3 linked regions of the Daphnia pulex genome follow. The protein of the gene in region 1 binds, or shares a complex with, the protein of each later gene. Links are inferred from orthologs where the notes say so. Each region holds a gene or a part of one and is shown in the gene's direction. Other genes may lie near its edges.

Region 1 (3,429 bases):
AATTCCGATGACGGTGATTAAACAGAGGACGGCCGAACAAATTGCGTCACTAACACCTGGAACATTCATTCAAATTTCAATTACATAGGATCAAAGCATTCGGATATTAGTAACCACATTACAGGTCGGTCTCTCGCACGATTTGCAGCAAAGTACGAGAAGTGCGCCCACTGAGATAAGTCCCAAGATACCGAGTACGCAATAGCAAACGGCAAGGACAGCTGACGCCTTTAATCTAAATAATAAAATCACGTTACCGTTCAGAAAAACAGATGGCAGTATAGTTAATATTTTGTTATTTACAATTTGATACTTCTGTTCTTTTTAGCAGCTTTTGCAATGAATGCAGAGATCTGACAAATGCAGATGGATGGAAATAGTCCAAGACATAAAAACAATATGTAGTCTCGGCTGGGATCCATAAAACTTGCCAATATCTTCAATGACAACAACAATTTCATTTTTTAAAATTATCATTTTCCTCTTAAACTGAGTTTTGTGTGTTACTTGCCGGAATCAGAAGAACGAGCGATGGGAGAGTAATCGCACTGTTGACGGTGTACATGGATTTTAGTATTCTTCTGACTCGATTATCATTGAAGTAAACATCGGTAACTTCTCCATTATTGGTTACATCTTCTTCAGTGAACCGTATCATTTTTACGCTATAAGTAAATTACACGGTGTGCAGTGAATTTTGAAACTGGGTGATACAACAACCAAAAGAAACACACTGGAAGGTTCCACTGAATGGTGCCGACAAACGACGACGACGAATGTTCGTTTTTAATGTTTGTGTTCGTCATATTCGTGCGTATACTGTGTGCAGATAGTAACTTTTTTGAGCGTTTCTCATATAGAACGATAGGAAAGATAGATAAGAAAATAGTGCGATTGGTCAGGTCAATAGGTTTGATGCGCGATCGTTTCTATCAAACCAGCTTTCACTTCAACGTCTACTTTCTAAATGTGATACTTAAAAAAAAAAACAATTCTTATCTCAGGCCGGTCAATAAACGTTTGGTTTGGAGATGTTGTTAATGCAGAATTTGTGGTGAATATGTTCAAGCCGTAATTAAGCCATTGGATATCAATTGAAATTGGTTTCGTTAAACAAATTATGGATACATATTTATTTTTAAAACAAATCACGAAACACGGGAATGCGAATCACGTTATCGGATTGCGCACCATTTTGGCAACGCGGGACTTTCCACATGCTTTTACCGTAGTCTGCTTGTCCAGTGGATTTTCATTGCTGACGTAAGAAACGCTGCTGTCCCGGCATCACCTTATTTTTTGGATAATCCCTCACATTTATTCTTTCTTCTTAATACGTTAGGTAATTTAGGAATAGAAAAAAAATTCTAGCTTAGAGAACATAATCTTTAACGTGGAGGAAAGCTGTAATTTCGCTATCTAAAATGTCGGTATTGTTCACCATCCACCTAGGCTGCCATCGTGAAAAATGCCCTTATTTTGTCGGTACTACGGTCAAAAATATCCAGAAGTGGATGATGTAGTGATGGTGAATGTGAGATCCATTGCTGAGATGGGAGCTTATGTGCACCTACTAGAGTACAACAATATTGAGGGCATGATCTTGCTCTCTGAGTTGTCCAGGAGGCGTATCCGTTCCATTAACAAGCTCATCAGAGTTGGTAAAACAGAACCAGTTGTAGTTATCAGGGTTGACAAGGAAAAAGGTTTGTTTAATTTACTGTTTGGGTTGTTTCTTTAAATAACCAATTTTCTTCATGTCACCACAGGTTATATTGATCTGTCAAAAAGACGTGTTAGCCCTGAGGATGTAGACAAATGCTTGGAGAAGTATTCCAAGGCCAAGGCAGTAAATTCAATTTTAAGACATGTTGCTGAACTCTTGAAATATCAGACTGATGAAGAGCTTGAGGAACTCTACAGAAAAACAGCTTGGCTTTTTGAGGAGAAATCCAAAAAGCAATCTTCTTCATATGATGTCTTCAAGCAAGCTGTCAAGTAAGTTTTTTCTTTATTCAACCCCAGTTAGTTTTGTTACATTACTACATTTCACAAATTTGGCACACCTTGTTCCTGTGCAGCTTCTATGCAAATCCCTCCATACGGTTCAATGGCCGGTTCCTAAAATTTCAAGAACATAATATTAGTTTATTTTGAATATGTAGTGATCCTTCTCTTCTTGACGAATGCGGCTTGGATGACAACACAAAGGAAGTGCTACTGGGGATTATTAGGCGGAAGCTGACTCAGCAAGCTGTGAAAATCCGAGCTGACATCGAGGTGGCCTGTTATGGCTACGAAGGAATTGGTGCCGTTAAGAAAGCTTTGAAAGCTGGAATTGCCTGCTCCACTGAAGAGATTCCTATAAAAATTAACTTGATTGCTCCACCACTTTACGTCATGACTACGCAGACGCCTGAACGTCAAGACGGACTCAAAGGACTAGAATTAGCCATAGAAAAAGTGAAAGAGATAATTGTTGCACTTGGTGGCGTTTTCAACATTCAAATGGCTGTAAGTTCATCTCTCGTCTACAGATCAACAACCTAAGTATAACGCAATTTCTATTTTAACAGCCCAAAGTTGTTACTGCTATGGATGAAGCTGAATTGGCTCGCCAGATGGAGAAGGCTGAGTTGGAGAATGCTGAAATCGCAGGTAAGGATGGAGTCGGATGTATAATTACGAAAAGAATCTATATAGCTGGGCATATTTATCAACAGGTGATGACGATCAATCTGACATGGAAGCTGAGGGAGCAGGAGCCAATGACGCTGGAAGCGGAGAGGAAGGTGGCGAAGAAGGCGAAGCGGAAGAAGAAGAATAAAGATATACCGCACTCTTATTTTTTACAGACGATGGAAATTACTGCGCTTGGCGCAACTCCGCTCCGATTACACAACTTGAGTGAAGATTCTTTTGTATATTTTTTTAGCAGTACCTAAATCGTATGATGATTTTCCCGATGTGGTCACCCTGGGCGGCGTATTGTCCGGCTTGTTCAGCTTGATCAATTTCAAACACGCGCTCAATAACTGGTTGAAGATGTCCTTTGTTGACTAGATTTGAGATTTCATCCAAAATTGAGGTGGATATTACGGTCGAACCACAAATAGAACTCTAAGAACAGGTGGAAGTTAGTCATTTAATGCTTGGAAGCTTTTCAGGAGCTGGGCTGGACTAACCTTGAGAAATACGAGTTTCATTCGAAGCCACATAGAGTAGAGTGATCCGTAAAACAAGCCATATTTGTCAGACGCAGGTGGGGAGGCGACGGTTGAAACTACCAAACCTCCTTCTCGACAGAGGACACGGCACGAGTCGTGCAAAATCGAGCCAACGGTATTGAGCACAAGGTCAAACTTAGGAAGAGACGACAGCAAAGAATCAAAATCCAAATCATGGCCATTATGAAGAATAAGTTCATCT
Region 2 (3,681 bases), on another chromosome or scaffold:
ATTTCAATCACACCAACTTTCTTGGTAATAATACCTAATCATTCATATTATGTTTCATAAATCACCATTGTTTCGTTAGCATTCCTCATTTCCGCTGTTATTGGATGCGCCCAAGCCATCGTAATAATTTCATGCACCATGTACAGAGCTCTTCACCCGGTTGGCTAAATCTAAAATTTGTATGCTTGTTACAAACAATTTAAAAACGAATCATATTGTTTAAAAATAGACATTTGATTACTACGACCATTCAAATCTACGAGAAGTGCCTTTTATAATATTGGGACTATGGCCTTTTGTGATGAGTCTGATTTCCTTAGGATTAGCAGCCGGAGTAGTGTTTGCTGTTGGTTTTCTATTTTTTGTCCAGGTTTGAATTTCTTTGGATTATATGTTCTTTATTTAACCTAAAAGTGATTGATTCTTTCATAGATGAAAGTGGTTTTAAGAAATCAAACAGGCATTGAAGACTGGGTTCATGAAAAAGCTGTTTATCGTCGAGAAGGAACCGATGAACCCTCTTTCATTCACCCCTACAATTTAGGATGGCGAAAGAATCTGGTTGAAGTAATAAATTTCTCTTTCCAGCCTAAAGGTGATGGCATCGAGTGGAAAGTCCGGGACAATTGCCATCCATACGCTTTCACGGTATAATCCTATGCATAGTTCTATAGATTTTCTACCTTTTATAGCTATTTATTCATTTTTGACAGATTGAACAAATTGAACAGAAAAAGATTAAAAGGGAACGCTGCGTAGAATACGTAGTAGAGAAAGCATACAGTGGAAGGTGGTTCCCTATTATTAGTTTCGGCATTATGGTTTGTCTTCAGCCACCATACACCGACGAGACACGCATCTCTCTGCAGATTGGAGATAAGGTGGCGGTTACTCGATGGAAAAAGTATGATAAAAACAACTTCCAACAAGAAATTTTTGCCTTTCAAAACTTTTATAATTGTCCTTTAATCAGATATTGGCTTTACGGCGAAATTCAAGAAAGGGGTCAAGTTCAAATGAATCCAACTGAGCGCCGAGCACTGCGCGGTTGGTTTCCTCGTACATCCTGCTCTCCTTCCTATGTGGAATATGAAAAAGAGGAATGATTGTTTAAATTAGTTTAATTGAATGGATAAGACAACAAAAAGTTCCAATAATCTTACTTTTATTTACACACCACTTTGTTTTGAAGCAAAGCACCTAAAATTGCACCTTGTCTAAAATGTTTCGGGTGGTTTTCATCTGACAAATTCACAAAATCTTGAAATAAACTATGGTTAAAAAAATAAAAAAAAAAATGCAAAATGAACGTTTATTTCACTTTCGACAGATATCTCGTGCGCCGTGCGGTCGTCGCTCGTCGGTCGTGCTACCGGTGCTACCCTACCCGTACCTGTGTGCATGCACGATGAAGAATGGCAACGTTGACGACGACATTTTTGTTTTTAACGCGGAATGTGAAAAGAATAGAATGACTTAAGTATTCTTCTTTCATCAAACGATAACAGCAGTTTATGAATGTTTGCGGTTGCGTGTGACATAATGGACATATCAATCTAGGGCTCTCGGCAGATCCTTCCCTGGGACTAATCGGTGAGGGCCAATCAGAAACAAGTACAGTACTCAAGTGTTTTGACTGACTGGAGTGTTGACTTTTCATTGTGTCGTCTGCTGCTGGAACGGTGGCAAGCTGGCAAGCTGCTGTGCTGCTCTTCTAGCTGAAACTCCAAGTTAAGTAGAGAGGAAAAAAGTTTACTAGTGCGCAAAAAAGATATAAGTATAAAATGGAAAATACAAGTAGGTTTAGTTATTAAATAATGTTAATAAAAAAACTAATGTAATCAATGTGCTTTTAGGAAATGTATTGGATTTTTTCCAAAAAATTGTGAAAGAAGAGCCGGATGTTTCAGCAGCTGTTGCAGCTATCCGCACATTAATGAATATATTGGAAAACTTTGGTGATGGTTAGTAAAAACAAAATAATATCTATAAGCATAATCATTATCAACATTAAAGACTATCATATTCACAGGTGAAACTCTTCGTGGATTGTCGGAAGAACTGAGAAAAGCAACAGAAGAAATGAAGAAAGCTGAATGCTCAATTACATCAGTTCAATCAGGCTGTGAACTGTTTCAACGGTTTATCACACTTACTTCTCTTGAACAATCAGTATGTTGTCTATAAATATGAATCATAAATTTTTAATAGATTTAAAATAAAACATTCTTTTTAGAATTTCAAAGATTGCAAGGAGATTATGAAGAAACGAGGAGAAATTTTTCTAAGGAAATTACAAGAGGCTAGACCTAAAATTGCAAGACTAGGGGCTCCTTTTATTCTTGATGGACACAAAATCCTCACTCACTCCAAATCAAGAGTGGTTCTACAAACACTAGTTGAAGCAGCTGTTATATCCAAAAAACGTTTCCATGTTTTCATCACTGAATCTCACCCGGATCTAAGTGGTGTCGCTATGAGAGACGAGCTATTGAAACACAGTATTGGTTCGACTCTCATTTTGGATTCGGCCATGGGTTATGTCATGGAATCAGTGGATTTAGTGCTTGTTGGAGCTGAAGGTGTTGTTGAAAGCGGAGGCATTATCAATAAGGTACGGATAAAATATATTTATTTGACTATTTAAAAAAATTGAAAAATTTATTGAAATAGATTGGAACATATACTATGGCGCTGTGTGCCAAGGAAATGCACAAACCCTTTTACGTTCTCGCTGAGAGCTTCAAATTTGTCCGTCTCTACCCGCTGAACCAACGCGATTTACCCCAAGAACTGAAAGTATGTTAAATTTTTTAACCAATTTTCCATAATGCTGAAACTTGTGTTGAATTTTTTTAGTTCTCGTCAACTATTATTGAATCCAATCATTCTAATCTTCTCGATCAGCATCCTCAAGTTGATTACACGCCACCAGGATATTTGACTTTGCTTTTCACAGATTTGGGAATTCTCACTCCATCAGCCGTCAGTGATGAATTAATTAAACTTTATCTATGAAAGAGAGTCGTCTAAATATAAAAACATCGATAAATGTGTAAATAAAATACACGTTCATGTCACTTTTTTTGTGATTTTAGACATTTTCCTGCGCGTGTGGAAAATATAACATGCAGTAAGGTCATCTGTCGCAAGGTGGCGTTTCGAACGATGCACTTCAAATTGGAAACCGTTGAAGTTGTTAGCGTTGGTGCTAATTTAGCTCTAACTTTTTAACAATCAAAATTAGGGAATAATAACAAAGTTTAATTGAGACAACTACAGAAAACTGTGAGGAAAAAGATGTTAAATGAGCCAAATAAAGACCACATTCCGGAGAAATTTCCAAGAGAAAGAAACAACATTGATGACTTCATAAAGAGGAGACCAAGTCTTAACAGAAGTATTACTGGTGGTGGTTCTGGTTCAACTTTTCGAGGTAATGAAATGTTGTGGATATTGTTTGTCAATTTGTTCACTATGAAGTTTTTACAGCTGCTTGTGCTGCGGTAGACTCATCCCTACCTCCTTCTGGGAAGAAACATAAAATAACAGAACTATGTCTGAATCATACCCTGAAGGAAATGAAGTTTAATGCCTTAGAAAAAGAGCAAGATGCTGTTGCTGCCTATTCAGAAAGGCTACGGGATAACATTGAAGACATTCTAAACAAAGTTCTAGTTT
Region 3 (3,509 bases), on another chromosome or scaffold:
TCCCGGTACTTAGACACCATCGAGCGTCCCGTGATTAAATTATCGCTTTATTCAATCAATGGTCTTGTATCCGACGCCTACAGGTTTGTCTTTATTTACTTTAGCTGTCACATTATTTCGCCGGCGATGTATTGATTAAGACGTAGGCACCAGGGCCCACCAGAAACGAACAAAAATAAGTTTCCCGACAATGTCTAATTTCGCTGCTCCAAATGTAGTAGGATGTGAAAAACATTCTAAAGAGGCGACAGCGTAAGAAGCCCATCATTCATTTAAAATTGTGTCAAGAGTAATCGTGAAAAACAAGTCACAATATATACTGTACGTATACGACGGAATGAATATAAATGCAGGAGCGAAATCCAACTTGGAAGTGTTACCAAGTTGTTACCAAGTTGAAATTCAGATTTTTCCTCTTTCACGACGAGGGGTTTTATGGCATTTTTCCATGTGGGATGATTCGGGTTTTATTTCCATTGTCTTTTTACCCACAGGTTCAGGTCAGATCTTCCCATTGTCTTTCTTCGTGTGTTCGCTGATCCAAGTTTTGTATATAGTTAAGCAGCACCTCTTGACAGCGTGTGGCCGCCCATTTTTACCGAGAAAGGTAGTGGTGCTGTTAGGTGAAAGCTCCCTCACCAAAAATTTTACTTCGACCTAATCAAAACTTGGCCGTAAATTGTTACGACGATCTTTGACGTAATATTATTATGTGGTTGATTCCAACGCCCCGGATACATATCAAAGTAAGACCCAAAAACATTAAACGTTAACGCGAAATCACTCTGAATTTATGGATGACATTTTGTCTTGACGTAGAGTGTACACTTGCACATTTTACGCAATCGGGATTGGCTATCGTTTTAGATTGGGTATTAAGGCAGTGCTGATTGTAATCGCACCAATAATCTTATTGGTTGAATTATCATAGATAACACAAATTTAAAGGTGTGCGCAACGACAATAAAAGATAACGAGTAAAAGCATAAAAGATGACGAATTTATCTACTTATCTTACACTCACTCTGTTATCAAACCAACCATAACCAGGGGTATGGTAGGGCCTATAGAGATATGGATATGCCATAAGCCCAGGCATAACCAACCATAACGAACCAGATCGCTTTTTCAGAGGCTTTCTTCGAAAGATGATGTACGTATTTGAGCGATCGGGCACTCGCGCAGTAGCAGTTGCAGTTGCAGACGAACTTTGTAAATAAACAATACGCTGCAAAATTCTCGTTTTCTCCAGTGAACTACTTCACTTTATTATCTGTCTTTAAACCAGTTATTTCAGAATAAATTATAGAAAATCAGTGTGAAAATGCCGAGTCTTGAAAGTGAAATTGAAGGTATAATTGAAACTTTCACCAACAATCTTAAGCAAAGGTATGATTGTTATAGGCCATAGAAGTAATGCTGGCTATTCCATCTCGTTATTGACATTCTGTGTTTCTTTTTATTCGTAGAAAGTTCAAAGGATCGAGAGACTTGGCCCTTAATTCCGTACAGCTTTGGAAAAAAATCATTGGTCAAATGAAATGGCAGAATGCAAGGTTTGTTAGTTTATCTCAAGTCCAGAATTCCTGTTCCAGTTATTAAGTGATTCAATTCAATCTGTAGGGAGCTTATGGACACCATAAAAAGAATAGGTAAAGATTTGGCAGAGACTGCACCTTCAGAAACAGTCATTGGCAACATGACAAGAAGAATGTTAAAGATTGTCAGGGATGAGTATGCCATGCTGCAGAAAGGAAAACAAGAAGAATCTGATTTGCAAGACTCACTTCAAAAAATTCTCACAGCAGATGAAAGTGATTCTGATTACACTAAAAACATCCCCTTGCTCAAACCAGCCATCATGGAGCACATTGGAGAGTTCCTTGCCGAATTAGAATCCAGGTTTGAGAATTTACCACATGTCTAGCTTCACAGCCTATTCAACTACCTTAATTTGTTTCCACAGTGAAATCGACATTTCCGCCCAGGCCCTAGAACACATTCACGCTAACGAAATCATCATGACTATTGGTTATTCTAAAACTGTCTCGGCGTTTCTGAAGTCAGCTGCGAAAAATCGTGTTTTCCAGGTCATCGTTGCTGAATGTGCTCCATTTTTCCACGTAGGCAGCGAATTTGAAAACGTTTATTTGCATAACACCTGTATATTTACTCCAGACTATTATTACAGGGACATCAATTGGCTGCAGATTTAGCCGAAGCTCGTATCTCTACTACCCTTATTCCGGATTCTGCCATTTTCGCAATGATGGCACGTGTGAATAAAGTAATCATCGGTACTCATTCTGTTATGGCCAACGGTGGTCTAAAAGCAGTGTGTGGCACTCATACCCTTGCACTGGCTGCAAAGCATTATTCGGTTCCGGTAATGGAATAAGTTTTGTAGGCCTACACTTTCAGCTAAAATAATTTATTTTTTATGATTTCAGTTCGTCGTATGTGCACCAATGTTTAAACTCTGTCCCGAATATGTCTGTAGCCTTGATCAAGATGGATTCAACCAGTTTGTGTCACCCGAGGAAGTATTGAACAACGACGAAGGCAAGCTCGTTTCCAAAGTGAACGTCTACAATCCAATTTTCGACTACGTACCTCCAGAGCTCGTCACACTCTTTATTTCAAATACGTAAGCGAATTATTTTTAAATAGTTTGAAGATAATGAAGAAGTATCTATTTTATAATCACACTTGTTTCTCTAGCGGAGGCAATGCACCGTCTTACATCTACCGACTCCTCAGTGAACTGTACCACCCTTTGGACGTGCAATTGTAATGTGGGAAAAAATGGCTTTGTATTAAAAAGGCCGAGATACATAAACACACAGCACTAAGAAAATTACGAACATGGAGTGAATTTTTGTTTCGTTTCAAAACTACAGTTGGGTTCTAAGTATTGGTCTTCTCTATCAGCAAGATTAAAAGAGTAAACACCAAAAGCACGAATCGATTGGTTAAAGCTTCATCAAGACACTGGATCGAAAGGAGAGAGTAAATTAAATAAGTAGTGAAGAGAACAGTCGATTCATCTTTCAGGTACGAGAAAGAGTTCTCAAAATAAAGTAGTGATGGAAATGGAGAAATATCATAATAAGCGAAAATAATACCGTTTTTCACTGAGCAATTACAAGGAAATGGAACAGCAGATTAGAAATTGACAGAATTGGAAGGATAGGTTATTGAGAGAGACAAAACTTTGGTGAATTCATTATGTTCATTTTCTTTTCAGCACTGCGAACTTGAAGAGGCCAGCTGCATCAAAGCAATCGCGCCAGTCCATTGTTTTTCGGCGTTTTGGAGTGCTCGCATTAAGGTGCTGTTATTGGGTTTATCTGGTGTGGACGTGTTTTTGGGTTGAAATACCCTGGGTGAAGCTATTATGACACTGGGTCGGTTCATGTTGGTAATGAGCTGTTCGTTGTTACTCGTAAGAGCTTCACGCAGCCAACGCCGCTTGGGTTTTTCGGGACGGACAGGTGTGTCAGGCAGCG

What was found.
Region 2: the proteins of eukaryotic translation initiation factor 2 subunit 1-like (region 1) and translation initiation factor eIF-2B subunit alpha-like are in contact, whole or in part, in a cryo-EM structure (PDB 6K72), measured with the Homo sapiens proteins. The link is inferred for Daphnia pulex from reciprocal best matches to the Homo sapiens genes EIF2S1 and EIF2B1. Residues at the interface, in NP_004085.1 of Homo sapiens: Ala28, Glu29, Met30, Tyr33, Gly44, Met45, Leu47, Leu48, Arg75, Lys80, Tyr82, Ile83, Asp84, Arg88; in NP_001405.1 of Homo sapiens: Gly39, Thr41, Ile42, Gln43, Gly44, Leu45, Arg46, Ala47, Asn48, Glu70, Arg74, Ser77, Ser80, Leu81, Glu82, Tyr83, Ser84, Asp85, Tyr86, Cys89, Leu305.
Region 3: the proteins of eukaryotic translation initiation factor 2 subunit 1-like (region 1) and translation initiation factor eIF-2B subunit beta-like are in contact, whole or in part, in a cryo-EM structure (PDB 6K71), measured with the Homo sapiens proteins. The link is inferred for Daphnia pulex from reciprocal best matches to the Homo sapiens genes EIF2S1 and EIF2B2. Residues at the interface, in NP_004085.1 of Homo sapiens: Leu51, Ser52, Arg53, Arg54, Ile56, Asn60, Lys61, Leu62, Arg64, Arg67, Lys87, Ser91; in NP_055054.1 of Homo sapiens: Glu92, Arg95, Gln128, Ser131, Asn132, Glu135, Ala136, Glu139, Val142, Glu143, Glu145, Glu149, Asn150.

The regions. Positions count from the first base shown.
Region 1 is NC_060028.1:8,095,256-8,098,684, forward strand, and holds eukaryotic translation initiation factor 2 subunit 1-like, read left to right. Parts: upstream 1-1,180; 5' UTR 1,181-1,342; intron 1,343-1,452; 5' UTR 1,453-1,468; coding exon 1,469-1,706; intron 1,707-1,769; coding exon 1,770-1,998; exon of another isoform or gene 1,999-2,084; coding exon of another isoform or gene 2,085-2,121; intron 2,122-2,165; coding exon 2,166-2,514; intron 2,515-2,576; coding exon 2,577-2,658; intron 2,659-2,723; coding exon 2,724-2,827; 3' UTR 2,828-2,912; downstream 2,913-3,429. Other genes in the region: uncharacterized protein LOC124208437, read right to left, coding at 1-56, 123-235, 304-437, 512-658; reticulon-4-interacting protein 1 homolog, mitochondrial-like, read right to left, coding at 2,085-2,121, 2,942-3,120, 3,186-3,429. UniProt on the Homo sapiens protein: Member of the eIF2 complex that functions in the early steps of protein synthesis by forming a ternary complex with GTP and initiator tRNA. This complex binds to a 40S ribosomal subunit, followed by mRNA binding to form a 43S pre-initiation complex (43S PIC).
Region 2 is NC_060023.1:2,531,142-2,534,822, forward strand, and holds translation initiation factor eIF-2B subunit alpha-like, read left to right. Parts: upstream 1-1,433; 5' UTR 1,434-1,784; coding exon 1,785-1,797; intron 1,798-1,856; coding exon 1,857-1,964; intron 1,965-2,032; coding exon 2,033-2,172; intron 2,173-2,236; coding exon 2,237-2,614; intron 2,615-2,673; coding exon 2,674-2,799; intron 2,800-2,859; coding exon 2,860-3,018; 3' UTR 3,019-3,085; downstream 3,086-3,681. Other genes in the region: palmitoyltransferase ZDHHC6-like, read left to right, coding at 1-24, 80-159, 230-370, 433-648, 714-904, 974-1,106; uncharacterized protein LOC124198557, read left to right, coding at 3,301-3,436, 3,493-3,681.
Region 3 is NC_060019.1:5,860,561-5,864,069, reverse strand, and holds translation initiation factor eIF-2B subunit beta-like, read left to right. Parts: upstream 1-1,184; 5' UTR 1,185-1,324; coding exon 1,325-1,389; intron 1,390-1,469; coding exon 1,470-1,556; intron 1,557-1,623; coding exon 1,624-1,902; intron 1,903-1,966; coding exon 1,967-2,123; intron 2,124-2,191; coding exon 2,192-2,386; intron 2,387-2,450; coding exon 2,451-2,647; intron 2,648-2,721; coding exon 2,722-2,794; 3' UTR 2,795-2,860; downstream 2,861-3,509. Other genes in the region: asparagine-rich zinc finger protein AZF1-like, read right to left, coding at 3,244-3,509. UniProt on the Homo sapiens protein: Acts as a component of the translation initiation factor 2B (eIF2B) complex, which catalyzes the exchange of GDP for GTP on eukaryotic initiation factor 2 (eIF2) gamma subunit.